Callithrix jacchus: one gene and its partners. The protein of the gene in region 7 purifies or fractionates together with the protein of the main gene of each other region. This does not show direct contact. Links are inferred from orthologs where the notes say so. Each region holds a gene or a part of one and is shown on either strand. Other genes may lie near its edges.

The links.
Region 1: the proteins of L3MBTL2 (region 7) and LIN54 purify together in Homo sapiens (affinity purification with mass spectrometry; 3 studies listed by BioGRID and IntAct, counting the BioPlex papers as one, with this or other methods). This does not show direct contact. The link is inferred for Callithrix jacchus from reciprocal best matches to the Homo sapiens genes L3MBTL2 and LIN54.
Region 2: the proteins of L3MBTL2 (region 7) and HDAC1 purify together in Homo sapiens (affinity purification with mass spectrometry; 3 studies listed by BioGRID and IntAct, counting the BioPlex papers as one, with this or other methods). This does not show direct contact. The link is inferred for Callithrix jacchus from reciprocal best matches to the Homo sapiens genes L3MBTL2 and HDAC1.
Region 3: the proteins of L3MBTL2 (region 7) and CBX3 purify together in Homo sapiens (affinity purification with mass spectrometry; 5 studies listed by BioGRID and IntAct, with this or other methods). This does not show direct contact. The link is inferred for Callithrix jacchus from reciprocal best matches to the Homo sapiens genes L3MBTL2 and CBX3.
Region 4: the proteins of L3MBTL2 (region 7) and MGA purify together in Homo sapiens (affinity purification with mass spectrometry; 3 studies listed by BioGRID and IntAct, counting the BioPlex papers as one, with this or other methods). This does not show direct contact. The link is inferred for Callithrix jacchus from reciprocal best matches to the Homo sapiens genes L3MBTL2 and MGA.
Region 5: the proteins of L3MBTL2 (region 7) and WDR5 purify together in Homo sapiens (affinity purification with mass spectrometry; 4 studies listed by BioGRID and IntAct, counting the BioPlex papers as one, with this or other methods). This does not show direct contact. The link is inferred for Callithrix jacchus from reciprocal best matches to the Homo sapiens genes L3MBTL2 and WDR5.
Region 6: the proteins of L3MBTL2 (region 7) and E2F6 purify together in Homo sapiens (affinity purification with mass spectrometry; 5 studies listed by BioGRID and IntAct, counting the BioPlex papers as one, with this or other methods). This does not show direct contact. The link is inferred for Callithrix jacchus from reciprocal best matches to the Homo sapiens genes L3MBTL2 and E2F6.

What each region holds. Positions count from the first base shown.
Region 1 is NC_133504.1:114,780,655-114,784,898, reverse strand, and holds the start of LIN54 (protein lin-54 homolog), read right to left. Parts: upstream 2,801-4,244; 5' UTR 2,659-2,800; intron 2,096-2,658; exon of another isoform or gene 1,892-2,095; intron 861-1,891; exon of another isoform or gene 808-860; intron 717-807; exon of another isoform or gene 383-716; intron 1-382. UniProt on the Homo sapiens protein: Component of the DREAM complex, a multiprotein complex that can both act as a transcription activator or repressor depending on the context. In G0 phase, the complex binds to more than 800 promoters and is required for repression of E2F target genes.
Region 2 is NC_133508.1:68,904,167-68,908,146, forward strand, and holds the start of HDAC1 (histone deacetylase 1), read left to right. Parts: upstream 1-1,180; 5' UTR 1,181-1,246; coding exon 1,247-1,295; intron 1,296-3,980. UniProt on the Homo sapiens protein: Histone deacetylase that catalyzes the deacetylation of lysine residues on the N-terminal part of the core histones (H2A, H2B, H3 and H4).
Region 3 is NC_133512.1:31,898,891-31,902,986, forward strand, and holds the start of CBX3 (chromobox protein homolog 3), read right to left. Parts: upstream 2,801-4,096; 5' UTR 2,668-2,800; intron 2,484-2,667; exon of another isoform or gene 2,398-2,483; intron 2,334-2,397; exon of another isoform or gene 1,885-2,333; intron 1,331-1,884; 5' UTR 1,303-1,330; coding exon 1,279-1,302; intron 1-1,278. Other genes in the region: HNRNPA2B1 (heterogeneous nuclear ribonucleoproteins A2/B1), read left to right, coding at 3,654-3,659.
Region 4 is NC_133509.1:44,984,519-44,988,472, forward strand, and holds the start of MGA (MAX gene-associated protein), read right to left. Parts: upstream 2,801-3,954; 5' UTR 2,722-2,800; intron 2,513-2,721; exon of another isoform or gene 2,432-2,512; intron 1,970-2,431; exon of another isoform or gene 1,866-1,969; intron 893-1,865; exon of another isoform or gene 830-892; intron 1-829. UniProt on the Homo sapiens protein: Functions as a dual-specificity transcription factor, regulating the expression of both MAX-network and T-box family target genes. Functions as a repressor or an activator.
Region 5 is NC_133502.1:182,702,722-182,706,751, reverse strand, and holds the start of WDR5 (WD repeat-containing protein 5), read right to left. Parts: upstream 2,801-4,030; 5' UTR 2,675-2,800; intron 2,336-2,674; 5' UTR 2,217-2,335; exon of another isoform or gene 2,019-2,216; intron 1-2,018.
Region 6 is NC_133515.1:103,581,233-103,585,486, reverse strand, and holds the start of E2F6 (transcription factor E2F6), read right to left. Parts: upstream 2,801-4,254; 5' UTR 2,522-2,800; coding exon 2,414-2,521; intron 1-2,413. UniProt on the Homo sapiens protein: Inhibitor of E2F-dependent transcription. Binds DNA cooperatively with DP proteins through the E2 recognition site, 5'-TTTC[CG]CGC-3'. Has a preference for the 5'-TTTCCCGC-3' E2F recognition site.
Region 7 is NC_133502.1:192,009,236-192,013,317, reverse strand, and holds the start of L3MBTL2 (lethal(3)malignant brain tumor-like protein 2), read right to left. Parts: upstream 2,801-4,082; 5' UTR 2,735-2,800; coding exon 2,711-2,734; intron 1-2,710. UniProt on the Homo sapiens protein: Putative Polycomb group (PcG) protein. PcG proteins maintain the transcriptionally repressive state of genes, probably via a modification of chromatin, rendering it heritably changed in its expressibility.

The DNA of each region.
Region 1 (4,244 bases), on a different chromosome or scaffold from region 7:
CTAGGATCTAAAACACAAACCTTAAATGCAGAATAAAATGCCAACGCTCTGCCTCCTTAAAGAAACATACAACCCCAAGAACTGCTGAACGCCATCAAAGCAACACCCGCCAGAGTGGATGTTTGAAAAATTGTATCAGGGAATCATGATAAGTGCTAGCAGATCCTCTAGGCCTCAGCAGCAGCCTTAGGTATAAGAGCAAACTGGAGCCCTCTTAACACTCAAAGAATAATGTTGATGTCATGACGAGGCTACTGCTTCTCCGCACTCCGGACAAGTCATTCCTTGATCCACCGCACAATTCTTTCCCCACCCAACCCCATCCCCGCATATAAAAAGATCTCCATACAGAGAAGCCCTCGGGTACCCCCTCCTCCTCTACCTCCAGCGGCTGCCGCTTTCTCCTCCCTCGGGCTCCAAGGTGGGGGCTCCAGAAGGTCCTGGGCAATCCCGAGCCCCGGCGGGGCTTGTTTTGCCCGTGCAGGATAGCTCTGGCCAGCCGCTTCCTTTCTCAGTTTGTCCAAACTGGAGCGCTCCAGGGTACCCGGGAGCCGAGGAGGGAGCTGGGGTGGCGACGTCGCCGTCGCCGCCGCCTCTGGTATGTCAGGGGCCGGGATTGTATTTCGAAAGATCCGCCATTTTCACCTCGTCATCACCATCACAGCTCAGCAGCTTCCCCGACAGCCGGAGCCCGGGCCGCAGCCGCCGCCACCAGTAACCTCCCCCTTCCTCCTCCTCCCCTCCCCGCGCCCCTCCCGGGAGGCGCACACCCACATATCCGGGGAAGCCTCCCGCCGCCCCGCCAACCTTCAAATGCACACGGGCCGAGCAAGTGCACACGGGCTACGCCGAGACCTTTCACCCCCAGGCGGGGACGCCAAAGGAAGTCGCACCACCTGCGGGGTCCCAGGTCCGGCATATTTTTGTTTGGAAGAGCAAAAGCCATGCAGAAGGTGGCACAAGGACAATAAAGAACCCAAACTCTTTCATTTTCAGAGCAGCAACTTGAAAGAGATGGTGGAATGCGCTTCATTCACTGTGGCTATCCCAGGCACTAAAAACATTATTGTGAAGACCCTTGGTGTTATTCACCAACTTTGACATTTTACCCCACCCAGAGAACTACTTTGACAGGATGAGCTATTTCCATATGCATGTTTGATCTTTGACACCTTTGTCAATTACAGACAGTAATCCTCATGCAGATGAGGTCATCAAAACACCTAATTTTTACAAATAAAGTTTTGAGCTATCTTCCTCTCCAACAATTTTATCTGGTCATTTCTGACCCTGAACACAGCGACTTCCAATCTGTCATCGGTTTAAGACGTCAAAGCGCAACTAGATTTAAAATGTACTTAACTACTTGTAGAAACATTCATCAATGATGAATTTTTAAAATATTGAAAATATAACTCGAAGTTAAAATTCTTTGCCAAATGTTTTTAGGATCTAAGTAATCAAATTAAAAAAAAAAATCTGCTGCTGATATATTTGCTCAATACAGTGAAAATAAACAGCTTGCTTCAGAACAAGACGACCCTAGAGTTACTAGGTAGGTAAGAGTTACCAGCTCTTGTCATCAGTCAGCTGAATGAGTAAACAAAAGAGAACACAAGTTAATTCTTAATCATCTAAAAAATAAAATATAAGCTGCAAGGCTTGTAATGAGACCAGTGTTAAAAAAAAAAAAAGGAAACTGGCTGCCATTTCAGAAAGCGTTAACCATTCAAAAGCTGAATTCTTTACCATTTAACTGCAACATAAGCTCTAAAAGATCTATCTGAAATGGGCAAAATTAATTTCAAGGTTGTGAACAGGGCCACTCTACTATCCAAGTTAGTGTAAGAAGATTAAGGTTGAAGTTGAAAAAGTCATTTCATTTCCCTACCTTGTTTCAATGACAACTCCAGATAAAAGTGGGTAGATTCAGCCTTTAGCAAATGCTGTCTACCACCCACCCCAATGACTGTTTTTATATGCAGACTGCCAGATGCTGAGCGTGTAAACTGTTCTCAATATCTTCATCTTTAAACTTTATTTCCCCACTGACTGCCCAGTCCATCCGCACTCTGCTTGGTTGTTTACCGTTGTTGGCCAAGCTAAGTCCCGGCCCGCTCCCTTCCCCCGTGCACATCGGGAACATTATGACATTTGGCTGGTGGGCTTCGCGAGGAAAACGGACACGCACGAACGAGAGCCCGTACAAAGGGGCGTAGGAAGAACGCGGCGGCGGGCAGCAGGGAGAGGAGGGACTGGCACAAAATGACACAGCAGCAAAACCGGTTCTCAGAAACCCAGGGCCGCCACGGCCGGCTTCTTGGGTAGCGCAGCGTGCGTGTCAACAGCCGCGGGAGCCCTTCCTCCAGACCGCCGAGCAGGCGGCCGGCCGAGCGCTGGCCCTGCCGAGTGACAGCCACCCTCCCGGGAGCCGGCGGGAAGAGGCCGAGCCCAGAGGATCCTCCGCCCCCCGCGGCCCAGGGAAGGGGCGCGGCGGACCCCGCCTGAGGGTTCCCGCTCCCTGCCGAGGCCCACCGGCCGGGGATCCCGGAGGGAGCGGTCCTGCGCTCTCCGCCCGCGCAGCCACTGGCAGCGGGGGCCAGTTCCCCCTTCCCGCCCGCCCGCCCAGAAGACCCCATCCCAGGGGCTGACACTCACCAAAGCCGGCGGCGCCGCCGCCTCCTGGTCGCGCGGCGCTCCCTGGGCTCCCAGCAGCCGCGGCGGCGGCGGCGCCTCCGAGACACAGACCAGGGTTTGTTCAAAATCACGCGCCCAGCGCCATTCCACCGCCGCATCCCATAATACGCCGGGCCCTCCCCCGCCCGCGCGCCGCTCTCTGCCCGCCCCTGCGCTCCGCACCCCGCCCCACGGCCGGCTTCCTTCGCTCCGCCTCTTCCGCGGCGCCTCGCCCCGCCCCTTGGCAACCTGAGCGCGCGTCATTCCTCCAGGCTCCGCCTGGGCGCTGCGGCTCCACGTGACTCCGAGTGGCGCCCAGTCAAAGCGATCGCACGGAATGTTCCATCGGACTGAAGCTTGGGGGGAGGACCCGCATCGCGCTGCGGGTGGGAGAGACCGTCCCTTCGTCTAGCTTTCCTTGTTAGGGAGTCGGGACTGTAGGTGCGATTTCCAGCGTATCCTGCTCTTTGATGTGCTTGAGTGAGGGGGTGACCAGTAGTCACAAATGGCAAGTCACTGTGTTTTTTAGGCACTAATTTTGCAAGGGTCGCTAAAAATCCTCAGGGAGATCATTGAAAGTTAAACTTATTTTGATAGAGACCTTTTGCTTTTCTTACAACACACAGCTAAAACTAACACAGTCAAAATTATTTGTATTTAATCACCTTTTATTTTTTTCCCGCGATTTATATGATATCCAAATACGGAGTCGGATGAACAGATACTGAGAGATTATTCTGAGAAAAAAAGATTATTCTGAGAGATTATTATTAACTGCTGTATGTGAGATAAGAACTACATAGATGAAACAATAGAAAATACAATAGTGTAAATGTAAGGTGTGGTACAGTTATAATTTGCTAATGGAGCGCGGAGGACGTAAGGTCAGCATGAGAGACCACCTAGGGAACACAATGGAGGAGGCGAAACAGTGTAGTGGAAGCAGCAATCACTTTGGAATCATGCAGTACTAGTATTTAGTGGCACCTCCGTTTATTAGTGTATAACGTTTATTTTCCTATTCAGCAAATAAAAATAACGAAACTTCCCAGGATTCTGATGGTTAAATAAAATGAAGGGTGTTAAGCAAGTACACAGTCTCTGCCTGAAATGTTAGTTCCCTTGTGCCATAATCATCAACACCCCGTACCAGCCCAAACTCTAATAGGATTTAACAAGGCAAATGTCATGAAATTAGCAAAGCCTTGAAAATGGGAAGGTCTGTGACATGTGCAAGGAATGTGATAAAGTTGAATGGTATAAAGGCTTTGTTGGAGATCAACATTGTGAGCCCACTTTATGAGGAACCTTGAGAGCTAGTGTGAGAGATCCTCACTGTAAAATGATTGATGGTGCTGTTGAGGCACCTCTGGAAGAAGAGAGTGAGATGAAGTACCCAAAACTGGCTGGATTTTAGAGAGACCAAAAAAGGGAGAAATGTTCCCAGTTTATTCCACAAGGCAGCATAACTCTCATACTAAAACCCAAGGCAAACAGTACCCAAAAGAGAGAACAGAAATTTCCTTTCTCACTAGGATTTTTTTATGAAGGCAAAATTGAGTATTTAG
Region 2 (3,980 bases), on a different chromosome or scaffold from region 7:
TTTAGCTTTCAATGATGATCAGTTGGTAATTGATGATCTGGTGGAGTGGTTCTCAATAGGAGAGTTGGGGTCAATTTTACACTCCCTTATACCTGGCTAATATTCCCCCAACCCAATGGTAAAGCTATTGCACAGTACTTGGCAATGTCTGGAGACAATTTTGGTTGTCACAGCCTGGGGGGAGGGTGCTACTGGCATCTAGTGGGTAGAGGCCAGGGATGCCGGTAGACTTCCTATAATGCACAGAACAGCGTCCTATAACAACGAATTACCCGGCTCAAAATGTCATTAGTTTCCAGGCTGAGAAACCTGCCCTCCTATCGCGGGATAATCCCATTTTCTCCTGTCTAAAGAGACTCCTACTTAGTCATCCTGGGTGACTGAATCACGGAGGTAGGTTTTGGAGTCAGAAAGGCTGGGTTCTGTCACTTTTTTACAGAGCCTCTGGTGCAAAGAAGGCATTCAAAAAATCCTCAACAATTGAAAAATTGAATTTAATTACCTTGTGTAACTTGGAGTAATTCACAGAAGTCCGAACTTCTTTTTCCTAACCTGTAAAATGGAAGTAAAAACCCTTGACCGAGAGCTGTTTTGAGGAATAACTGAAATAACAGTTAAAGCTGTCGCACAGTACTTGGCTCACAGCAGCCCCTCGAAAAAACATTAGTTTTCTTTCCCTTTCTTGTCAGTTTCTCCCTCTCCAAACCCGCGTGTTGCTTTTCTTTTCAATTTTTAATTATTTGTCTGTAGCCCTCCTTTGCGGTGACAAACTCGCTTTCTAACCCAGGTTCAGCCCGTTTATTGGCGGAGTGACCTTGTGCAAGTCACTTTTCCCCTGTAGGCCTCGGTTTATTCTCCGTAAAATCAGAAAGTTGGCCTCCGATCTCCAAGCACGTTTCCCACGACGAAGTGGGCCTAAGTTTACCAAGCTGCTTTCCTCCCCCGGGAGTGATGGTACGGTCCCCGGGCGGCTCCCCACCCATCTGTCGCAGACCTTGGTACAGGCCCAGGGGGCCTTTAGCCGCTTCTCCAGGCTGCCCTTGCCCCCTGCCGAGTTCCGGGCCCGTGTCTGCGCAAGCTGATTGGCTGGAGCGGTGCCCGGGCTGCGCGTCTATAGGTGAGCCCAGGAGGGGACGGGCGGGGCGGGCCGGAGACCCGCCCCCTCCCCCCTGGGTCGGACGCTGAGCGGAGCCGCGGGCGGGAGGGCTGACGGACCGACTGACGGGAGGGACGGGAGGCGAGCAAGATGGCGCAGACGCAGGGCACCCGGAGGAAAGTCTGTTACTACTACGACGGTGAGCACCGTCCTCGCGGCGGGGGCGGGGCCGGGCCGGGCCGGACCCGGGACCTGGAGGCTGAGGCTGGAGCGCCGAGGGGAGGCTGCGGGAGGCTGAGGCGCTGGGGAGAGGCTCGGAGAGGAGGCTGCGAGGGGGAAGTCGAGGCTGAGGGAGGAGGCTGCGAGAAAAGAAGATCGAGGCTGAGACCAAGAGGGGATCGCGTGGGGGAAGCCTGAGATAATCTTGGTGGAGAGATTCTGAGGAAGTCCGATAGGGAGAGTTTGAGTGGGACTCCTAGAGGGGAGGCTGGATCTGATGGAGACGGCTGCGAGGATAAATTTTCCAGCCGAGAACCCAAAGCTCTTCCCTGCCCCGTCCCTTCCTCATCTTTTCTGAGGGAAGAGTCGTGCACGACTGGTCGCCCGCCTCCCCTCCCCCAGCCTCTGAGCTGGGCCTGCGGTTGCTGCTGTGACGTTGGGGCGCCTGGGGTTGCAAGGAGAAGGATGCAACCTGTTAGAACACACTTCTCACTTGATCTCTCAAACTGGTTACTGTGTTCGAGAAAGTGTTGAGGGGCTGGGGCCGTGGGGATGATCGGGTCACCCTTCCCAACGACCGAAGTTCTCTCCTTGTCAGAGCTCAGAGTGTTAGGGGAACACAGATTAGAGGCACTGAACTCCACCTGTGGAGTCAGCGAAGGAGGGGACATTTCAGGACCATCTCAGTTAGGTCCTGAAAAACAGGAGTTCTTAGCCAGGCACGGGAAAGGCAAACATAACAGCAAGTTCAGAGACAAGAAAGAGGACAACACCTTTGAAAAACAATCATTTGACCGGGCACGGTGGCTCACGCCTGTAATCCCAGCACTTTGGGAGGCCAAGGCGAGTGGATCACTTGAGGTCAAGAATTTGAGACCAGCCTGGCCAACATGACAAAACCCTGCCTCTGCAAAAAATATAAAAAGTAGCCAGGCGTGGTGGCACGTGCCTATAATCCCAACTGCTTGGGAGGCTGAGGCAAGAGAATTGCTTGAACTCAGGAGGTGGAGGTTGCAGTGAGATGAGATCAGGCCACTGGACTTCAGCCTGGGCGACAGAGGGAGGCTGTCTCAAAAAAAAAAAAAAAAAAAAAAAAGAGGGAGACTCTTGTCTCAAAGAAAGAAAGAGGAAGAAAGACAGGCTTTGTAACAGTATGGCTGAGGCATAGATTTGGGGGCCTAGTGTAGAAGGTGGGGAGCAGGGACGAGGGAAGGGTTGCAAATAATGAGGCTGCAGAAATAAATAGGGACCAGCCAGGCATGGTGGTGTGTGCCTGTAATCCCAGCTACTCTGGAGCCTGAGGCAGGAGAATCCCTTAGAACCTGGGAGGCAGAGGTTGCAGTGAGCTGAGATCACGCCATTGCACTTCAGCCTAGGTGACAAGAGTGAAACTGTCGCAAAAAAAAAAAAAAAAAAGAGTTGTAAATAGGGACCAGACCATGAAGGGCTGGGCATGCTGTCCCAAGGAAGTTGGACTTTATTGAGGGCACTTGTGAATGATTGAAGTTTTATGCAGGTTAGTGACATCATCAGGTTCATACCTTAGAAATTAAAGTCATGGGGGCCGGGTGCTCTGGCTCACTCCTTTAATCCCAGTACTTTGGGAGGCCGAGGCAGGCAGATCACTTGAGGCCAGGAGTTCAAGACCAGCCTGACCAACATAGTGAGACCCCGTCTCCACTAAAAATACAAAAATTAGGCTTGGTGAGGTGGCTCACACCTGTAATCCCAGCACTTTGGGAGGCTGAGGCAGGTGGATCATGGGTGACTAACATGTCGAGACCCCATCTCTACTAAAAATACAAAAATTAGCTGGGCATGGTGGCACGTGCCTGTAATCTCAGCTACTCAGGAGGCTGAGGCAGGAGAATCGCTTGAACCTGGGAGGCAAAGGTTGTAGTGAGCCAATATCACGCCACTGCACTCCAGCCTGGGCGACAGAGCGAGACTCTGTCTCAAAAAAACAAAAACAAACAAAAAAAAGAAGTTCATGACTGTAGGGGTAAGGGAGAAGACATGGATCCCAAGTTCCTGGTGTGGGCAATTTTTTTTTTTTTTTTCCGAGATGGAATCTAGCTTCGTCACCCAGGTGAGAGTACAGTAGCATGATCTTGGCTCACTGCAACTGCAACCTCCACCTCTCGGATTCAAGGGATTCTCCTGCTTCAGCCTCCTGAGTTGCTGGAATTACAGGTGTGTACCACCATGCCTGGCTAATTTTTATATTTTTATTATAGATGGGGTTTCACCATATTGGCCAGGCTGGTCTTAAACTCCTGACCTCCAGTGGTCTGCCTGCCTCAGCCTCCCAAAGTGCTAGGATTACAGGCATGAGCCACAGTGCCCAGCATCTGGTGTTGGCAATTTGATAGTGAGTGTTTAGAGGTTTGGAGAATGCCATGTCAGTTGATAACTTTTTTTTTCTTTTAATTTCTAGAGACAGGGTCTCAATATATTACCCAGGCTGGTCTTGAACTCCTGGGCCTGGCCTCAAGCAATCCTGCCACCTCGGCCTCCCAAAGTGCTGGGATTACAGGCCTAAGCCATTGTTTTTTGTTTTTTTTAGAAATAGCTATTGATAACTGTTAAGATGTTTAGGGGACATCCAAATAGAGGCATCCAGTAGGCAGTTTAGAAGATAGAAATTTTGGTTGGGCGCGGTGGC
Region 3 (4,096 bases), on a different chromosome or scaffold from region 7:
AAATATTTTCAAGTGGTCAACTTGTGACCCTTCCCAAAATATTTAAATACCAATAAATAACAGATTCCAAAGGCTATCAACTGTGTGCAAAAAGAACTTAATTTTAATGGGAACACCTATTAGTTTGCTTTCTGTATCTATATTCAGCCTTAAAGCCTCACAGACAGCTAATTCCTTTCCCATCTAGTACTTGAAGGAGAATACAAGTACCTTTAGGCAATTACCTACACTTTGGTTTACCGATTATACAATCTGAAGGGCAACTCAATCCCGAGGCGCCATTGATGGTTCTCATCTTTACATAAAATACATGAGAATCATTTGCACCACAGACTCACCCCACAGGTTTCACATTACTTATCTCAATCTGTTTTCCAGGGTATCTGACTTAATGTACAATCCTAATGATGGCACGAATTAAAAATCACCAACCTGCCCGTTTTAGTGTGAAACCCAGAGAGAGCATATACAGACCAAAAACAAATGCTTTGCTTTGCTTAGGAGACATTAACACACTCACCTTTACACGCTTATGATTATTAATGCAATGTTAGAATTAAATGTGAGAACTAGAATTATGAATTTCGTGATTTTTATGTGACTATTCCAGCGTTTTAAAAAACTTGAAACTTGACATGGCTGAATATACGTATATCTTAAACTGCTGGAGAGGAAAATATTGGTCAAAAGATACAGAAGATCTAGTTTTTTCTCCCTCCCGGGTCATATTTGCGATTTCGATCATTTTGTGTTCAAATAACACAACACTGCAATGAATTAAATTTATGATTCATCTATAAGTTAGAGTAAGTTAAAACAAGATAAAGTGACCAAAGGAATTTGAAAGATTGACTTTTCCTCCAATCTAGGTGCACAGGGTACCTGGTTCTTTAAATTGGGCTTTAATGAAAATACTTCTGTACAATTCAGTGGATTTAAGAATTATGTCAACCAAAAAGGGGTATATCATTTTATGCAACATTTTTGCACGTTGCAAAAATGTGTGCATTTCTATTTGAAGATAAAAATCGTCAGCAAAATCCACATTGCACTGTTCAAAGATTAGCCTTTTTTAAACTAGTGAAGACACTATTAAGCCAAGTCAGTATCTCCATGTAATGATTTCATTCTGCTCTTAATTTTCCCCTATAATTATGCTGGGAGAGCTGGGAAATATGTGGATGTAAATTTCTCAGCCACAGAGATGCAAAGTTACACTTCTTTTGGGAAAAAGGCTTTAGTTAAATCCTTACACATTTTAGGTTTTAATTAACTTACCAATGTAGTTTTATTGGAGGCCATTTTTTATTGCAGACTTGAAGAGCTATTACTAGAAAAATGCACGACAGTTAAAATGTTTGCACGACACAAAAAAGAGTAGCTAAATATAAGTTTTGTTTGGATTCCAACCCCCAAGTAGGGAGCGCACATTTCAAACGTGGATACCAATTCTAGAGTAGATTTGCGCTCTTACTTAAATTGCCTCAGTATGTCTTCTAACCAAATGACCCTAAAAGACTTTACTGGGGATCTTGGTACCTAAGACAGCTTACATGGCTTAAAATAGGGGACAAGTGCCTTTTCCAATCGAAGTCCCATTTATAATAAAGTCCATGTCCCATTTTTACAGGACTGTAATTACCAACAACTCACAACGGTAAACCACCGTGAATCTTCTCTCTGCTCTGCAATCCTAACTTGGTTTCTGCTCAGAAACCCTCCCTCTTTCCAATCGGTAAATAACTAAAGGAAAAAAACTTAAGATGCTTCAGTCCCCGTTTCGTGACACCTTGAAGAAGCAATCACCTTCCATACACCCGCGCCCCCACTCCCCGCCCCCCAACCCCGGCGTCCCGAGGCCTAAGCGAGGGCGCCCGCCCCCACCCGGGAGCACGGGCCTCGTGGTCAGCTCATCCGCGGGGAGAAACAAAGGCCGTGTTGCAGGGGCTCAAGGGCACTGCGCCACACCGCCCGCGCAACCCCCGCGGCGGCCACGTAACGGGGCGGCCGCCGCACCCTTGGGACAGCGGGCCGCGCGCCGCCCGCCCGGAGGCCTAAGTCTCGGCCCAGCCCCGCGTGGCGGCCAGGGGAGGGGGGGCCCCTCCGCCAGAATGCTGGTGGGGGAGGGGAGGAGAAATGCGCTTTGTCTCGAAAGAGTGACGGTTGCCACAACTCTCTGCTCCCTCGAGGGCAGAACAGTCCCCCAATTAACTGCAGGCGCTAACCCGCGCCACGCCAGCCGCGAGGCCACCGCCCGACCTTCCGCTCCTTCCCGCAGCTCCAGGTGCGGGGTCTGGCGGGGAACGAAGGGAAGGGGAGCAAGGAACCGGGCCCCCGGAGCGTGTGTGGTATCTAAAACACCGCCACTGAACGAGGGCTAGACAAAAGGAAAACCACCGACTTCACCGCCTCCGAGGTGCTCCGGGTCGCGGGTCTGCGGCGTCTTCGGCCCTGCGCGCCAGCAGCTCCAGCCACATCCAAGTGGGGAGGGAGCCGGGAGCTGCGCAAGGGGCTGCGGTGGGGAGGGGCGGCACCGCCTACGCCGGGCGGCCACGAAAGGCGGGGCAGCGGGCGCGCGCCCGGCGGGAGGGGAGGGGCCGTGCGCCGCGCCCCCTGGGAACTGGGGCCCAAGGTGGGGAGGGCGGCTGCGACGACCGCGGCACTTACGGTTTGCAGCGTGGCTCCCGGTGGTCCCCCGAGGGGAGGGAGAGGGAAGGAGGGGCGAGGACAGCGACCTGAGTCTCTCGGCGGTGGCTTTTCTGCCCCGCAGCCTCTACGGCTGGCGCCAAAACCGGACTCCGCCTACTTCCTCGCCCCTGGGCGGGTGGGGGGTGGAATCCTCCAGACGCTGGGGGAGGGGGAGTTGGGAGCCTAAAAACAACTCGCTTTGGGACCCCTTTTGGCAGGGACTCCTGTACGCCAGAGGTCAGCCCCATAGGCGCGGGCCAGGGTTAGGTCAGTGCGGCGTGAATAGTAATTTGACTATAAGTTGATTCGGGTGTTTCCGGAAGGGGCCGAATGGGGGCACGGAAAACGAAAAGGGAAAGCTACGAAGATTTTTATGGCGGGAGAAGGAAGGAAGGTATCAAAGGCGTAGCTGCAGAGACCACCTCCCGTGTTGAGGGGGCTGGACCTCCGGGCTGCGGTTTAAGCTCCTCCCGTCGGCGTTAATTTCAAACTGCGCGACCGTTTCTCACCTGCCCTGCGCCAAGGCGGGGGCGGGGGGGGCGGGACCCTATTCTGAGAGGTAATAGGAGGCAGGCCTCGAGCCTTCCTCAATTCACTGAGCGCATTTACGGAAGTAACGTCTGGCACTGTCGCTAGCCGCGAGGTGGGGAGGGCTACGCATTTGGCGTAAGGCGGGGCGCAGAGCCTTCCCGCCATTGGCGGCGGTTAGGGCGTTTACGCAACGGCCTGACGTAGAGGAAGACGCGTTAGTCGGGGGGGAAGGTTCTAGAAAAGCGGCGGCAGCGGCTCTAGCGGCAGTAGCAGCAGCGCCGGGTCCCGAGCGGAGGTTCCCCTAGCGGTGTTGTTTCTCGAGCAGCGGCAGTTCTCACTACAGCGCCAGGACGAGTCCGGTTCGTGTTCGTCCGCGGAGATCTCTCTCATCTCGCTCGGCTGCGGGAAATCGGGCTGAAGCGACTGAGTCCGCGATGGAGGTAACGGGTTTGAAATCAATGAGTTATTGGAAAGGGCATGGCGAGGCCGTTGGCGCCTCAGTGGAAGTCGGCCAGCCGCCTCGGTGGGAGAGCGGCAGGAAATTGGACCGCTTCAGTAGCAGTGGGTTCTAGGTTTTTGAACAGGGTCTTGACAGAGGCCTGAGCGTACAAACAGCTTCCCCACCCTCAGCCTCCGGCGCCATTTCCCTTCACTGGGGGTGGGGGATGGGAAACTTTCACATGGCGGACGCAGCCCCGCTGGAGTGAAAGTGGGGCGCGGAGGCGGGAATTCTTATTCCCTTTTTAAAGCACGCTGCTTCGGGGGCTCCGGCGTTTCGGCGGCGAGCGTTTCGGCGGGCAGCGGGTCCTCGTGAGCGAGGCTGCGGAGCTTCCCCTTCCCCTCTCTCCCGGGAACCGGATTTGGCGGCCGCCATTTT
Region 4 (3,954 bases), on a different chromosome or scaffold from region 7:
GATATGAAACACTACCTTTATAGCTGGGCTACAGTGGCTCACACCTGTAATCCTGGCACTCTGGGAGGCTGAGGTGGGAGGATCTCTTGAGGTCAGGAGTTCGAGACCAGCCTGGCCAACATGGTGAAACCTTGTCTCTACTAAAAATACAAAAATTAGCCAGGCGTGGTGGCCCACTCCTGTAATCCCATCTACTCTTGAGGCTGAGGCAGGAGAATTGCTTAAAACCGGGAGATGGAGGTTGCAGTGAGCCGAGATCATGCCACTGCACTACACCCTGGGCAACAGAGTGAGACTCTGTCTCAGAAAGAAGAAAAAAAAAGAAGAAATATCACCTTTATAACATTAACTAGCCTTATGTATTTCTAGACTATTCAGTTTTACTACTGTCTATTCCAGTTGCTATTGTATTTTGATTATCATAGATTTATTTGTATATTCTCTAGCACAAATCCTTTCCTCATTCTTCTCTTCCAAAAATTTTCTTACTTTCTAGGTTTACTTTTTCAAATAAATTTTAGAATCATTTTGTCAACTTTTCAAAAGGAAATCTGGTTGGAATTATGTAAAATGGCCAGCCTTATTTCTCTGTTGCTATATTCCTCAGTGGTAAAATGGAGTACTTACCTTGTAGGTTTGTTATGAGAACTAAATGAATTAAATACAGTATAAAATACTTAGAACACTATGCCAGAAAGATACTATAATTATTCAAAAGTGACAGTTACAATGACTGCTCAATATTTTCCAGATGTGTTCCCATTTGAAGCCTCTTTTTAAGATACATCAAAGACATCATAAAACATAAGCAGTGATATGGAAAACATACAATTTATGCTTGTTTTTCTTCACCAATGACTTGACCCTTCTTTGGTGAAATGAAGAGCTGGAGCTGAAAGCAGAGACGAAGAAAAATACTAAAGGTTGGTGGGTACCAGGTCTCTAAACTTTTACAAAGATGGGCCCACCAAGTGGAAAAGAAACTTCTAGGTCCTTCTAGTCAGCATTATGGGGCATCAGTACTTCCCTTTTAAATACTATTTCCTCATCTCCACAGTTATGACAATAGGAGTTACCTTTTGATTTCCTCCCAGAAAACACACAGGGATTAGATGTTTAAAAGACAGTATTTTTTTGGCCGGGCGTGGTGGCTCAAGCCTGTAATCCCAGCACTTGGGAGGCCGAGGCGGGTGGATCACGAGGTCAACAGATCGAGACCATCTTGGTCAACATGGTGAAACCCCGTCTCTACTAAAATTACAAAAAATTAGCTGGGCACGGTGGTGCGTGCCTGTAATCCCAGCTGCTCGGGAGGTTGAGGCAGGAGAATTGCCTGAACCCAGGAGGCGGAGGTTGCGGTGAGCCAAGATTGCGCCATTGCACTCCAGCCTGGGTAACAAGAGCGAAACTCCGTCTCAAAAAAAAAAAAAAAAAAAAAAAAAAAAAAAGACAGTATTTTTGAAATGAGCTCGTGAGCAGCTATAAAGGATAAATGGGATTGATAAAGATGGACAGACATGCCCAGAATATTACAACAAATTACCTCCACCAGGTTTCCCACATTACTGTAACGACTGAGAGGGGAGTGGCTGCGGATTTTTTTTTGGGGGGGGCGGGGATCTGTCTCATTATAATTTGTAAGAATTTGTTAAATTTTTTTTATCTACATGAAATTGAAGTTAGGTGTCAGAGGCCGTATGAGGGACCTTAAAAGGTGATCTCTACAGAGCTAAACTATAAATGAGAAAATGGAGGCCACGAATGGCAACATGACTTGCTAATTACAAAACTAGCTAAAGGCCTGGACTCCAGGCCTCCGAATTCCCAGATCTTGGCTCATCCCAATACACCACGCAACTTCTCACCGACGCTTGCCACGCTTCGAGATGGGAGGAGTAAAAGCAGGCCATCCGACCGCAGCAAAGACGCTGGAAAACCACGGGCCGGCGCAGTCGAAGGCACGTGACCCGCCACGCCCCCCCACCCTCCCCCTTCCCCGCGCCAGCAGCACGCGCTGCCAACCTCATCATGTGACCTTCACGCGGCCCCAGCGCTCCCCCTGCTCCGAGACTCTTTCCAGCAGCCATTTTGCCGAGAACTTGTCGTCTGTGCTCACCGCGGAGCAGGACGCCACGAAAAGCCGCGGCCAGATTTTACAGGCGGCACACGCGCTTCGAAAGAGCGCTCAGACCGTCAGGGCCCAGTCGAACCTCACTGAACACGTCGCACCCCGGGGCGCCGGAGAAAGCTGTGGGTGCGCCTCGGCCTCAGATTGGCTGTGGCGTCCACGTGACGCATGAGCTTCCCCCCCCCTTCTCCTTCCCCCCAACTCACAAAAACACCCAGACTCTTTAACACCTCGCGCCAAGAACACGCCACCAGGCGCGTGGAGACGGGCGGAGCGCGTGGCAAGCAAGGCGCCTGCGCGTACCTGCCAGGGCCGACCGCAACCGGCCCACGCGCCGCTCCGCTCGCGGGTCCCGGAATCCTCGCGCTGCTGGACCACCCGGCTAGTCATTGGCTTCCATCTCGGGTCACGTGCTGGTCGCAGGCCCGCCCCTACCCGCTAATCACCTGGCACCAAGCTCGAAGCGGCAAGGAGTCGTTCGCACGCGGAAAGGGAGGGTAGTTAGAGGGCCTCCTTTTCTGCCGTTCTGGGGTTAAACCCATAAAGAGGAAACGAGAAACCAGAGACTCAAAGCTAAGGAAGCTCGCACCTACCGGCTTAACTTCGCGCGCCTCTCCAGGAGCCGGGAACCATCGCCCTTGGGCGCTCCCCGATGCACGCCGGGATACGCCTGGCGCCCCTCGGTATGCTGCAGAGCATGCCGGGAAAGCCACCTCTCCCGATCTCCTGGCGCTCACCTCCCGGGCGTTCCTTCCGTGTCCCCTTGAAAGCCCGGAATGAGACGGTTTGGGCAATTATGGTAGTGTGGCGAGGTATACCAGTCACTTTCAGCCCCTCCTCCCCCCACTTGTTTGATCTGTGTGGTCTTGGGGAAGCCGCTTAATCTTTCTCCAAGGAGCAAGCGTTTAGTATGCGCCTGCTGAGTGACTTTGTGAAGATTAAAAAAAAAAAAAAAAAAAAAAAAAAAGCGAGGGTATTTGCCTGCAAATGAACTGCCAGCCTTTCCTGGCCAGTGAAAAAGAATGCTAATTTAAATACAGCTTAACCAAAAGCCCTACTTGGGAGTGGAAATGGTACTTAGAATTTTCCTTGGGATAGAAGATAAGACCTTTCTTGCTAAACTTATTGCTACTGTTGGGGACAGGAGGAGTGGGAAAAACAGGAGGTATTTTAAAGGGGGCAGGGACATGTCTATATCACAGTTACTGGTTCCACCTCATACGAACTATGGTATATTGGAAACGAAAAAAAAAATACCATCTCCTAACTCAGAAAAGGTGGTCCTACATCAGAACCAATTAATTTTGTAGCATATTCACAAACTGCCCTTCAGGCCAAAACCTAATGTTTACTCCCATAAAACCCCCACTTAACACCTTTTCTGCTTTGAACTCTATTCTATAGCTTTGCCAATTTCGGAAGGATTCATCAATTCTCAAAGAGATGATCAAGCTTGAAGAATGAATTTGACTAGCGATGGTCAAGCGCAAGAGCTCTTATTTATAGATTAAAAATTAAATGTATTAATTTGTAATGTGGTCATGAAGCCAAAATATAGTTTGGGGCACCCCTTTTCTAGTTTCAAGGTACTTCATAAGCCTAATTATCAGAAAATTATTCCCTGACTAGAAAATCAAAAGAAAGGGTATTAAGTGATCATACGTAATTTTTAAAAAATTAATTCCCAGCACAGTATAGGAAAAGGAAAAAAAATTATAACCATATGATGTTACACTTGAAGTTTATAAAACATTCCAATATTCTTCATAATATATAATTTTTATAACAACTCAGAAAAGTGCTATACTAATATTACCATCTTCTAA
Region 5 (4,030 bases), about 9.3 Mb from region 7:
TTCTGGAAAAGCAGCCTCAAGTACACCAGGGATATTCTACGAGCAAGACCAACATGCAAGGGAATGAAAAAAGACTGTTTCAGCTTGACAATAAAATTTACCCAAAATCTCTCTAGTAAGCAGCTAGTTTCCTCCATCTCGAGAATAGATCCATTACTTGAATACGTCTCATAAAAGCACAACAGGTTATTCTGAAAGGAGGCACAGCATCACTAAAAAAGCAAGCCACTGAGACATGCTTGCAAATACCACTGGCCATCAGAATTCTGGAAGCTAGCACCACCATCCATCTAACGAGTTTACACACTGTACGTTCTAGTTTGCAGCTTGAAACCGAAATCTTGCAAGGCTGCTTGTAACATTAAGGTGAAACGGAAGGCATCAAAAAGAGTCTCAAAGTCTTGATGCAAGAGGAAGGCAGAGAAACTACAACACCCACTTTCCAGAAAACAGGTGTGGCCACAGATCCATTTCGCCTGCAGCAAAGATTCCCTTCGAAAGGATGGATCACGATGCATCTAAAGCCTGAGCATCACACACTCTCACACACACACATACACACACACACACACACACACACACACACACACACGAGTGGGGAAGGGGAGGGGCAGGCCCTGTAGAGCTGCCCAGAGTACAAAGTGCCAGTACAAAGCCAGTCCTCGGTAAATGCCGGCTACATGGTGCTTGTCATAAGTGCAACCTGGCCATGGCAATTTAACCCAACTGCTGCCTTCTCCCTGGCACGCTGGACAAGTACAAGGAGAGGGAGGAGCTACGGAAATCCAAGCAAAAAGCTGCAAAGTCCACTGCAAAGGTCCTAGCCGGAGACAGCCAAGTCAGGGCAAGAGCTGAGTGAAGTGTGGCCGTTCCCTACCCAAGTGAAACACCAGAGGAACAGAAGGCAGAACCGGCAGCTCAGAGGGCCGAGCAGCTCCAGTCAGCTGTCTACTCACCTAGGTGAGTCCAGATGCCTGAAACACCCTCAGGCAAGGCGCAGCAGACTGGCGGTCTTACAAAAGGAGCTCAACCCCTCCCAGCTCAGGCCCACCCACCCCACCCTTTGGGCTCTAAAAACATTAACAAGTAAAAGAAACAAAGAAACAAAAAAAACCCTTAACTTTAACATGCCTTTTAAGAATAGAGTTTCTTGACACTACACACCCACCAATTTCTACCTCAGTGGTGGGGTCTAGGCTTGAAATTTTCTTTTTTTTTTTTTTTTTTGGGTCGAGGCTGGAGTGCAGTGGCAAGATCTTGGCTCATTACAACCTCCGCCTCCGGAGTTCAAGCGATTTTCATGCTCAGCCTCCAGAGAAGCTGGGATTACAGGCGAGCACCACCATACCCGGCTAATTTTTTGCATTTTTAGTAAAGACGGGTTTTGCCATGTTGCCCAGGCTGATCTCGAAGTCCTGAGCTCAGCAATCTGCCTGCCTCAGCCTCCCCAAGTGCTGGATTACAGGTGTGAGCCACCACACCCAGCCCAAAGCTTGGCATTTTCATAAACACCCAGGAGTTTCTGTGAAGAATCACTTTAAGGGAACAGGAAGGTTGGCGACTTGATGCTGAAAAAGTGGGGGCCAAGAAGGTTCCATGCACGGTGATGAGGAGTTGACCGCCCCCGCCCAGGTGCGGCCTGGCTCCTCCTAGCAGCTGCTGCTTTTCATCCAGGTAAGCCTGACCACCTGAAGCCCAGCAACTAAAGCTCAGTATGCTCTCCTGGGCTGGATGCCACTGGCGGATTCCGGAGTCCCTCAGTCCCCAAGGTGGAGCCCAGGAATCGGCCTGCGGCATGCTGTCCAAGAGAGCATGCTGCGTGCAGACCGGAATGAATGTGCATCCCAAACAGCAGCCAGGTGGCCGGCCCGACAGCGGTGGGAACCCGGCGCTGCGCATCTCAGGTCCTGGACGGGCTCCCGGCCTGGGTCCTTCGCTTACCCATCTGTCTTCCCCACCGGCTAGCACCGCACCTGCCCAGGTCACAGCGTAAGCATTTGGGAGATAGGAAAACAGACCTGGGTAGCTGGAAACTTGCCTGCGAGACAGCAGGGAGGGTCGTTAGCGGGAAGTAACAGCCCAACCTCCGTCTAGTCCGGGAACGTAACCGCTCAAGATGGCTCTCGCAGACCGGCCAGGACTGGTCTGCGGCCCCGCGCGAGGAGGAGCGGGGGACCCTCCGTTCAGGAGCGAGGACCCGAACCCCAGGACCCCACCTAGCGAGGTGCAGCCTGGCTGCCTCCGGTTGGAGTGAGCGGCGGGAGCGGGCTGGGGCGTTTCTACGAAGGGAAGCGCCACGTCCGGGGACTGACTGGCTCGTGGGTCTGGTCCTTCCCTGGAGATGGAGGAAGAGGAGCGATGTGAGGCCGGGCGCGCCGCCGAGGGAGAGGCCCCAGTACCGGCGCTCGGGCCTTGTCAGCGGCCCGCCAGGGAATCGGAGGTGGGAGCGCCGGTGGGGGCGGGCGGGGTGCAGGGGCCTGCGCGCGCGGCCGTCCACCGAGGAGCCCGTGAGGGGGTCCCGGGCGGGGCCGCCGCAGTGGGGGTAGCGCCGGGGGCTGGGCCTGGCCGGAGGCCCGGCAAGGAACACGTGCGGCGGCCGGGGACGATGTGAGGGCTTCTGGCGCCGTCCCACTCCCCGCCTCGTGCCCCCCGGGCCGGGCGGCTGCCCACTTACCTGTCGGGCCGCGGCGGCGGGGCCGGGCGCTCGGGACGTCGCGTCGGCCGCCTCCTGGGCGGGAGCGCGGACTCTGCGCGACAAGGCGGCAGCTCCGGCGGGCGCCAGGCGGCGGGGGCGCAGTGCGCGTGCGCGAGGGGAGGGGGCGTTGTCCAAAGGCGGGGCGAGCGCACAAAGCCCGCCTCTCGGAGAAGCGCTACGGGCCGCGGCTGCGGCCAGAATGCCTCGGGCAGGCCCAACGCTTTAAAGGAACCGCGCCGGGAGCACGCTTCCCGCTTTAAAGCTTTAATCCCGAATTCAGCTGCCGCAGGCCCTTCTAATGCACTTCCTAAAAATGGAAGTATAATAATACATACAGGAAAGTGCTAGTGTGCTCTCGCGTTTCCAAGACTGAGTACGCCCTGCACACTGGGACCAGAGGCCCTCCGGGACCCGCGCAGGTGGCGTCGCCTGGCGTTGTCCCCGGAATCGAGGCGGACCGGGGCACCTCCCCGGGCGACCAGGCCCCTTCTGGATCATCGCCGGTACGGATGACAGCGGCAGTGGGCGTTTGGAAAGCACTTGGGGCCGCGCCCGGGCGCAGTGCCCCCCATGTGGCCGCCTACCCTGGGCGGGCAGGACGACTCCGGCCCATTTAGAAGCCCCAGAGCCTGCGCGTTCACTGAGCTCGGAAGCCCGGGCTGCGCCTCCCCGCGGGGCCGGCTGCTCTTCCCGCCTCTGCTGGCACAGAGCCAGCGGTGCGCGCACCTGCTCCTCCCCAGCCCCGCGGACTGGGAGAGCCGCGTTGGAGACACCCGCGCCCGCTCCGCAGTGCGCAAACTCACTTTGCACAGGGCTCTCTGGGGCCAACCCTTTCCTCCTGGGCGGGTATTTTCACCTACGGGTACAAGGGGGTGGTCCCCAGAGGAGGACCCCGGGGCCTAGAAGGTGAGGCCCGGTCGTCTAGCCCTGACTACTGTGCATTCTCGCCTCCTGCTTCACTTCTTAGAGCCTTGGAGGTAGGTACGGCCTCCCTACCCGCTCAACTAGGCCTGTGGGAAGAATAACATGCAGTCACTTATTCTCCAATTTAAAATGGGAACACAGAATATGACACAGGAACCCGTGCAAACAAAGGGACAGAGCATTTGAAATAAAAATGTCCGGGGAGAGTGAGGTGTGCGCTTGTCAGAAAGGCTGAACCGAAAGACTGGCAGATGGTCTGGAATCCCCTTCCCAGGAAGGACACAGAAGGGAAGGTTCCTGTGTGGTCCGGCAGGGCTGCGTGTGGATCTGTGTGCCCAAAAGGCCTGGTCCCTTGGGCCAGGTGCCCTGGAGCATGGAACAGTGACTGTCACAGGTTAGCAAACCAAGCTC
Region 6 (4,254 bases), on a different chromosome or scaffold from region 7:
CAGTGAGCTGAGTTTTTATCAAATTCTCATATTTTAAGACCACCAATACAGATGGTACCAATACACAGTTTGACTCTCAAATAACACACGTTTTAAATGTGTGGGTCCACTTATATGTCAATTTTCTTCACCCCCTACCACCCCTTATTTAGCAAAACCAATTCCTCCTCTTACTCTTCATCAGCCTACTCAATATGACGACAAGATAAAGACCTTTACGATGATCTAATTCCCCTCAATAAAGGCTATCTCTTATTTATGATTTTCTTAATAACATTTTCTTTTCTTTAGCTACTTTATTATAAGAATACAGTATCTAATACAGGTAAACATAAAAGAAGTGTTAATCAACTGTTTACATTATCAGTAAGGCTTCCAGGATACAGTAAACGTTTGAGGGAGTCAAAATTATATTCAGATTTTGAATTTCATGGGATTTGGTGCCCCAATCCCTGAGTCAAGGATCAAATGTAGATAGTAACAGAAGTCATGGGAGGAGTGAATGAACTCCCCTAAGAAGAATGTGTAGAGATGGTAGAAGAGAACCCGAATAACATCAACATATGGCCAGCTGCGGTGGGAAGAATGCTTGAGCCCAGGAGTTCAAGACCAGCCTGGGCCTTGTAGGGAGGCCTCCATCTCTAAAAATAAAAACTAAAAATTAGCCAGGTGTGGTGGCATGTGCCTATGGTCCCAGCTACTTGGGAGGCAGAGGCAGGAGGATCACTTTGGGAGGTCGAAGCTTCAGTAAGCCATAATCATGGCACTGCGCTCCAGCCAGGGTGACAGAGTGAGAGTCTGTCCCGGAGAAACAAACAAACAAAATCAACATGAAGGAATGGGAAGAGGATGAGGACAAGGAGAGGCCAGAGAAGCAGATGGAGTATCAATGTCAAGGAAACTCAAGGGAGAGTTGTGTCAAAACTACAACAGCTGATGGAAATGACAAGATTGTTCACAACCCAACAGCTGATGGAACTGACAAAATTGTCAGTTAGCAAGGTCTTCTTAGAGGTGTGCTTAGGGTAGGGGTCCCCAGGAGTGGGTTAGGTGGTAATAAGGGACGATCAAGTGTAACAGTGAGTGTAAATAACTTTTTCAAGTTTAGCTGTGAAGGGGAAGAGAGACAGTAGATGGGAGGGAATATGGGAGTGATCAATTAAGGGAGTGATCTTTTAAGATGGGGATGGATTTACAATGCAGTTTTAGTAGTGAAGAATGTATCATTTGGTTGAAACTTGGAGGTTCAACCCAAGTTTCTCCACTTACTATCTAGCCACAGGCAAGCCAGCATTACATACATCTCCAAGTCTGTTTTGGCAACCGTAAAACAAGAATAATCATCTTTTATTATAAAACACTGCTGCGAGAAATTAGGCAATGATCACAAACTATTTGGCATGGGGACCAGAATTAATGGCTTGGGAAATGTTTAATTACTAGTAGTTATAGGAAGAAAGCAGCAAAGAAATGAAAACTATGGGGAGAGGCTGGGGGCAGTGGCTCACGCCTGTAATCCCAGCACTTTGGGAGGCCGAGGCGGGTGGATCACCTGAGGTAGGAGTTCGAGACCAGCCTGGCCAACATGGTGAAACCCTATCCCTACTAAAAATACAAAAATTTGCCAGGTGTGGTGGCGCATGTCTATGATCCCAGCTACTTGGGAGGCTGAGGCAGGAGAATCGCTTGAACCTGGAAGGCGGAGGTTGCAGTGAGCTGAGATTGCGCCATTGCACTTCAGCCTGGGCAACAACAGTAAAACTCCATCTCGGGGGTGAAAGAAAACCCAGAAAGAAAGAAAGAAAAAGGATAAGAAAAAAAAAAAGAAAGAAAAAGAAAATACGAGAGAAATGGAAAAGGATGCATTTGTTAAGGGCCCTGAAAACTGCAGAGAGTAAAACTGCTGGTCGAGAACAAGAGTATAAAAAATCAGCTTTGGCAGGAAGGGGAGCCAAATCTCCTAAACATTTTCTCTGTCAAACAGGTGGGGAGATAATGTGCTGAACGGGAGCTGTGACGTGGGAAATATGAAGCGTGGACAAGGTTTTAAACGGCTGCAGTAGAGTAAAAGGATGGGAGAGGAGGCAGAAGAGAACAAATGATAGGTTGCAGAGGTACAGCTAGAGTTGGAAGAAGGAGAAAAACATGGATTTTCTAATGCAAAGTTGAGCAATTTTCTCCAACAGTGCCCTCAAGTTCCGACGTAAAAGGGAAGAAGACTGACACCACGTCTGCGAGCAGGCGCTGAAACCAGAAAGGCGGGAGAGCGCAGTTCGCAGCACGTGACGGGCAGCGCCTGGTCCAGGGGGAGCAAACGACCGAGACGACGACCCGAGGGGTTGGCGGCAGCGCGGGGAGGAGGGGGCCGGATCTGGGAGACCCCCGCCCGCGCCCGTCCCGTCCCGGCGCTTACCAGCAGGCCCTCCACGTTGATAGGGTCTCGGCACCGACGGCGAACTGTCTCCTCCGCCGGGTCCAGTAGGAGACTGGGCAACTTCCTCGCTGGCCGCTGCTGACTCATGTTGCCCAGCCGGGCGTCCCGCTCCCCTCGCACCCCGAGAGCTCTCCCGCCCTCTCGCGCCTAGCTCGAGCGCCGCCCCCCAAGCGCCGATTTCCAAGGGCCCAGCACTTAACGGGTCTGCGGCCTGCTCCGAGGCGCCGCCCGGCTAGGCCGTCCCGCCTGCGGGAAAACGCGCCACGGCTTCACGTGCCCTGGAGCTCCGGCCGCAGACGAGACAGGAGGAGGGAAACCCGCGCCTCTCAGGTCGCCTGGACCGCCATCTTCCCGCATGCGCACTGTACCGCCCCCCGCGCATGCCCTCCGCGGCCGGAACGCTCCCACGCAGCGATCCTCTCCTGGCTGCCGGAGCCTTGAAAACCCGGACCGCGGTGTTCACGGAGAGGACGGCAAAGGAAAAAGAAGAGGTGGAGCTGGATTTTAGAGGAAGGGGACGGGGGTGAGAGAATAGAAAGCAGCAGCCGGGGAAAACGCAGCGCCCGCCTGGAATTCTCGACGCTGATAACTGAAAGTTCTGAGCTGCACAGATGTTCATTTATTCTCTTTTTTAAAAAATAATTTTTTTTTGTCTCCCAGGCTGAAGTGTAGTGGTGTGGTCACAGCTCACTGCAGCCTCGAATCCCCAGGCTCAAGCAATCCTCCCACCTCAGCCTCCAGAGTAGCTGGGACTACAGGCGCGCTCCACTGCACCCAGCTAATCTTTCTTTCTCTCTCTCTTTCTTTCTTTCTTTCTTTCTCTTTCTTTCTTTCTTTCTTTCTTTTTCTTTCTTTCTTTCTTTCTTTTTCTTTCTTTCCTTTCTTCCCTTCCCTTCCTTCCCCTTCCTTCCCCTTCCTTCCTGCCTGCCTCTCTTTCTTTTCTTTTCTTTTGAGGTGGAGTTTTGCTTTCGTCACCCAGGCTGGAGTGCAATGGTGTGAGCTCATCTCAGTGCAACTTCCGCCTCCCGGTTCAAGCGATTCTCCTGCCTCAGCCTCCCAAGTAGCTGGGATTACAGGCATGCGCCACCACACCCGGCTAATTTTGTAGTTTTAGTAGAGATGGAGTTTCTCCATGTTGGTCAGGCTGGTCTCAAACTCCTGACCTCAGGTGATCCTCCTGCCTCTGCCTCCCAAAGTGCTGGGATTACAGGCATAAGCCACTGCGCCTGGCTAATTTTTAATTTTAATTTTAGTAGAGAAAAGGTCTCAGTATATGCCCCGGCTGGTCTTGAACTCTGGGGCTCAAGCCATCTTCCCACCTTGGTCTCCCAAGCGCTGGGATTTTAGGCATGAGCCACCACACCCAGGCTTCATTTATTCATGGCACAGGCTGGTCAGTGTTGATGCTTAGTAAATGTGGGTAACCAAACCTCTGTGGAATTGTTTTACTTCTCTCCTCCCTCCCTCCCTTCCTCTCTCCCTCCCTCCCTCCCTTCCTTCCTCCTTTCCTCCTGTTTGATGAATGAGTTATTGTTGACTTATTGTGTCAGGTAATGGGGTGGGTACAGGAGATATTTACTCATTTGAATATGCCATGGGTTCAACCTCCAATTTCAGTGGGGACAGATAAGTAAACAGAGCATGTTAATTAAGCTGGAGCTAGAAGGTGTGTTTTCAAATCTTGGCTGCTTCTACTTATAAACTAGAAGACCTTATTAGTCAGTTACTTAATCTGTCTGTGCCTCAGTCTCCTTGTCTGGAAAAGGCAAATAATGACAATACTTACTTGATAAGGTTGTTGTGAGGATTAAATGGATTAA
Region 7 (4,082 bases):
GCCATGGTGGCTCATGCCCCTTTAACCCAGCCCCTATAAACCCAGCACTTTGGGAGGCCAAGACAGGAGGACTGCTTGAGCCTGGGAGTTCAAGACCAGACTGGGCAACATAGGGAGACCTTTGTCTCCACAAAAAATGCAAAAAATTAGCTGGATGTGGTGATTAGGGAGGCTGAGGTGGGGTGGGAGGATCTCTTGAGCCAAGGAGCTCAAGGCTGCAGTGAGCTATGATTGTACCACTGCACTCCAGCCTCGGTAACAAACAGCAACCCTGTCTCAAAAAGATTTGGGGGAGAAGTAAGAGACAATACTGGCAAAGCACTCAGAATAGTCACTTGTGGCTGGGCGCATGGCTCATGCCTGTAATCCCAGTACTTTGGGAGGCCGAGGCAGGCGCATCACAAGGTCAAGAGATGGAGACCATCCTGGCCAATATGGCGAAACCCCATCTCTACTAAAAATACAAAAATTAGCTGGGTGTGGTAGCCTGTAATCCCAGCTACTTGGGAGGCTGAGGCAGGAGAATGGCTTGAACTCGGGAGGCAGAGACTGCAGTGAGTCAAGATCGAGCCACTGCACTCCAGCTTGGTAACAGAGCAAGACTCTGTCTCAAAGAAAAAAAAAAAGTCACTTGCATATAGTAAGTGGTCAATAAAGATTGCCAATAATTGCTAGTTGAAAGCATAGACTCTGGTTTGCCTGGGACTGAATGCTGGCTCTAACTCTTACTGTGTGATTTTGTGCATTTTTTATCTTGCTGCCCTCAGTTTCTTCATGGTTATGAAATAATCTTTCTTTAGAGAATCGTTATGAAGACTGAGATAAGATATGTAAAGACTAATTCTATTTCCAGCAGTCAATAACAGCTTTTTTGTTTGTTTGTTTTTTTAGAGACGGAGTTTCGCTCTTGTTACCCAGGCTGGAGTGCAATGGCGCTATCTCGGCTCACCCCAACCTCCGCCTCCTGGGTTCAAGCAATTCTCCTGCCTCAGCCTCCTGAGTAGCTGGGATTACAGGCACGCACCACCATGCCCAGCTAATTTTTTGTATTTTTAGTAGAGACGGGGTTTCACAATGTTGACCAGGATGGTCTCGATCTCTTGACCTCGTGATCCACCGGCCTCAGCCTCCCAAAGTGCTGGGATTACACGCTTGAGCCACCGCACCCGGCCTAATAACAGCTTTAAAAGTGTGACCTGCTATTCTTCTCCACATTATTATTCTCCTTTACCCTTGCAGAATGTTTGAGCTATTCCACTTTATATTTGCAACTACACATGCAAATATGCTAGAAAGGAAACAATTCAAATATAGGTACCCTTGTCAGGCAGGTTGGCAGAGACCACCTGGGAGGGTGAGGTGTGAAGATTGCTTGAGCTCAAGAGTTTGAGGCTGCAATGTGTTGTCATGCCTGTAAGTAGCCACTGCACTCCAACCAGGGCAACATAGGGACACCCAGTCTCTTAAAAATATAAGGTCCCCAGAAGCCAAATGATTAATGGATGAGGTGGTGCTGTGGCTCACACCTGTAATCCCAGCACTTTGGGAGGCCAAGGTAGGCAGATCACCTGAGGTCAGGAGTTTGAGACCAGTCTGACCAACATGGTGAAACTTAGTCTCTACTAAAAATACAAAAATTAGCCAGATGTGGTGGCACATCCCTGTAATGTCAGCTACTCGGGAGGTGGAGAGAGGAGAATTGCTTGAACCCAGGAGATGAAGGTTGCAGTGAGCAGATATCGCGCCACCATACTCTCGCTTTGAGACAAAGCGAGACTCTGTCTCAAAAAAAAAAAAAAAAAAAAAGAGTGGGGTGCAGATTGCAGTACAGTGGGACTGCATAACGGGCAAAGTTTTGGAGGTGGGCCGACTTAATGCCAACCTCCTTCACTTTCCACCTGGGGTAACTTCCTGTGGCGTCGCACCACCTCTAAGCCTCAGTGGCTTGAACGACAAAGACGTAAGAGTAATACAGGATTGCCGTGGGTGTACTAGAAGATAATGCATGTGAACGTTACAGACAAGGAGTGTTCACTCAACTTTAATCTCCCTTCACTTCCTACCTCATGTAACAGGCCTCACAAGCCCTAAAGAACACGGCCACGAGACAAAGATGACAAAGAAGATTCAGGAGCTGGCCGGGCGCGGTGGCTCACGCCTATAATCCCAGCACTTTGGGAGGCCGAGGCGGGTGGATCACGAGGTCGAGAGATCGAGACCACCCGGGTCAACATGGTGAAACCCCGTCTCTACTAAAAATACAAAAATTAGCTGGGTATGGTGGCGCGCGCCTGTAGTTCCAGCTACGTGGGAGGCTGAGGCAGGAGAATTGCTTGAACCCGGGAGGCGGAGGTTGCGGTGAGCCGAGATTGCGCCATTACACTCCAGTATGCGTAACAAGAGCGAAACTCCGTCTCGAAAAAAAAAAAAAAGAAGATTCAGGAGCTCTCAGATCCTAAACCTAGTTCCCCTTCCCCCAGACTAGGGACACCTGTTCCTCCCTGAACACCTTGCCTAACGTTGGCCCCAGCAGTAAAGGAACAAAAAGTAAAGCCAATCGCCTCTGGCCCTGGCTCAGTTTACCTACCTCAGCTTATCCATCCTTCCACCCTCCACCCTCCAGGCGTCGCTAAAAGGCCTCAAGAAGGATCCACGGAGCGAGGCTCTCGGGGTTCCCTTTCCCAGTCACGCTAAGTCCTCTCCCTCTCACCTCATTACGCGGGGGCTTCTCCATGAGACCTAATTCAGTTTCTCCCAGCGTCACCAAGTGCAGGAAGCCATATTGGCCTCGTCGCTCTCCGTGAGAGCAGTCATTGGCAGCCTCCCTGAGCCGTGGGCCAATCACGCTGCAGGAAGGAGAAAAAGCCGGTTCCGTGCCTGCTCACGCCCTTCCCTCCCTGTGGGCGGGGAAGCCGCGGGCTGTTGTGGGAATTGTAGTTCGCCCTGGATGTGCAGGGTGGGACGTTACCAGTAGCGACGTGGAAATCAGGGGCGCCGGCCCTGGCGCGCCTCACCCCAACTGTTCCAAGTAGGCCAACCACTTGACTTCAATTCTTTATTCTTCACTAAACGGTTATTGCGCACCTACAATAGTCACTGTTCCAGATTCCAGGAATAACCTTGTACTTTCCCGGGTTAGACATTTAAGGTGCCCTTTTGCTGGGATGCATAGCAGAGGAATTCATTTCCAGCGAGACAAAGTCTAGCTCCTTTGTCCAGGCGGAGTGCAGTGGCGCAAACTCGGCTCACTGCAATCTCCGCCTCCCAGGTTCAAGTGATTCTCCTGCCTCAGCCTCCCAAGTAGCTGGGATTACAGGCGCGTGCCACTACTCCTGGCTAATTTTGTGTTTTTAGTAGAGACCGGGTTTCTCCAAGTTAGCCAGGCTGATCTCAAACTCCTGACCTCAGGTGATCTGCCCACCTCGGCCTCTCAAAATGCTGGGATTACAGACATTAGCCACCGCGCGCAGCCAGAAACTGTAATATTCTTTTTCTTTTCTTTTCTTAAATCATTTGTATTATTTTTATTTTGAGATGGAGGCTTGCTGTGATGCCCTGGCTGGAGTGCAGTGGCAGGATCTCAACTCACTGTAACCTCCGCCTCTCAGGTTCAAGTAATTATCTGCCTCAGCCTCCCAAGTAGCTGGGATTACAGGTGTCTGCCACCACGCCCGACTAATTTTTGTATTTTTTAGTAGAAACAGGGTTTCATCATCTTGGCCAGGCTGGTCTTGAACTCTTGACCTTGTGATCCACCTGCCTCAGCCTCCCAAAGTGCTGGGATTCCAGTTGTGAGCCACTGTGCCCAGCTGAAACTGGAATATTCTTATGCTCAATGCTATAAATGTCTAGCCTACTCAAAATCTTGCAACATTCGTCCTTCACCACTCTCTCCTGGGTAAAAAACCTCGAATCTGAGGCTCTCTGCCTCATCCCATTAGGGTTTCCCACACCTCCTTACACACCTTGAGTTCTGGGCGCTGTTGTGGAGTTTGCAAACATCTTCTCAAACCCTTACATATCCTATCACTGTTTGAAAGAAGAGGGACTTGGTGGCTCTTCAGGTTTAGACACTTTCCAAG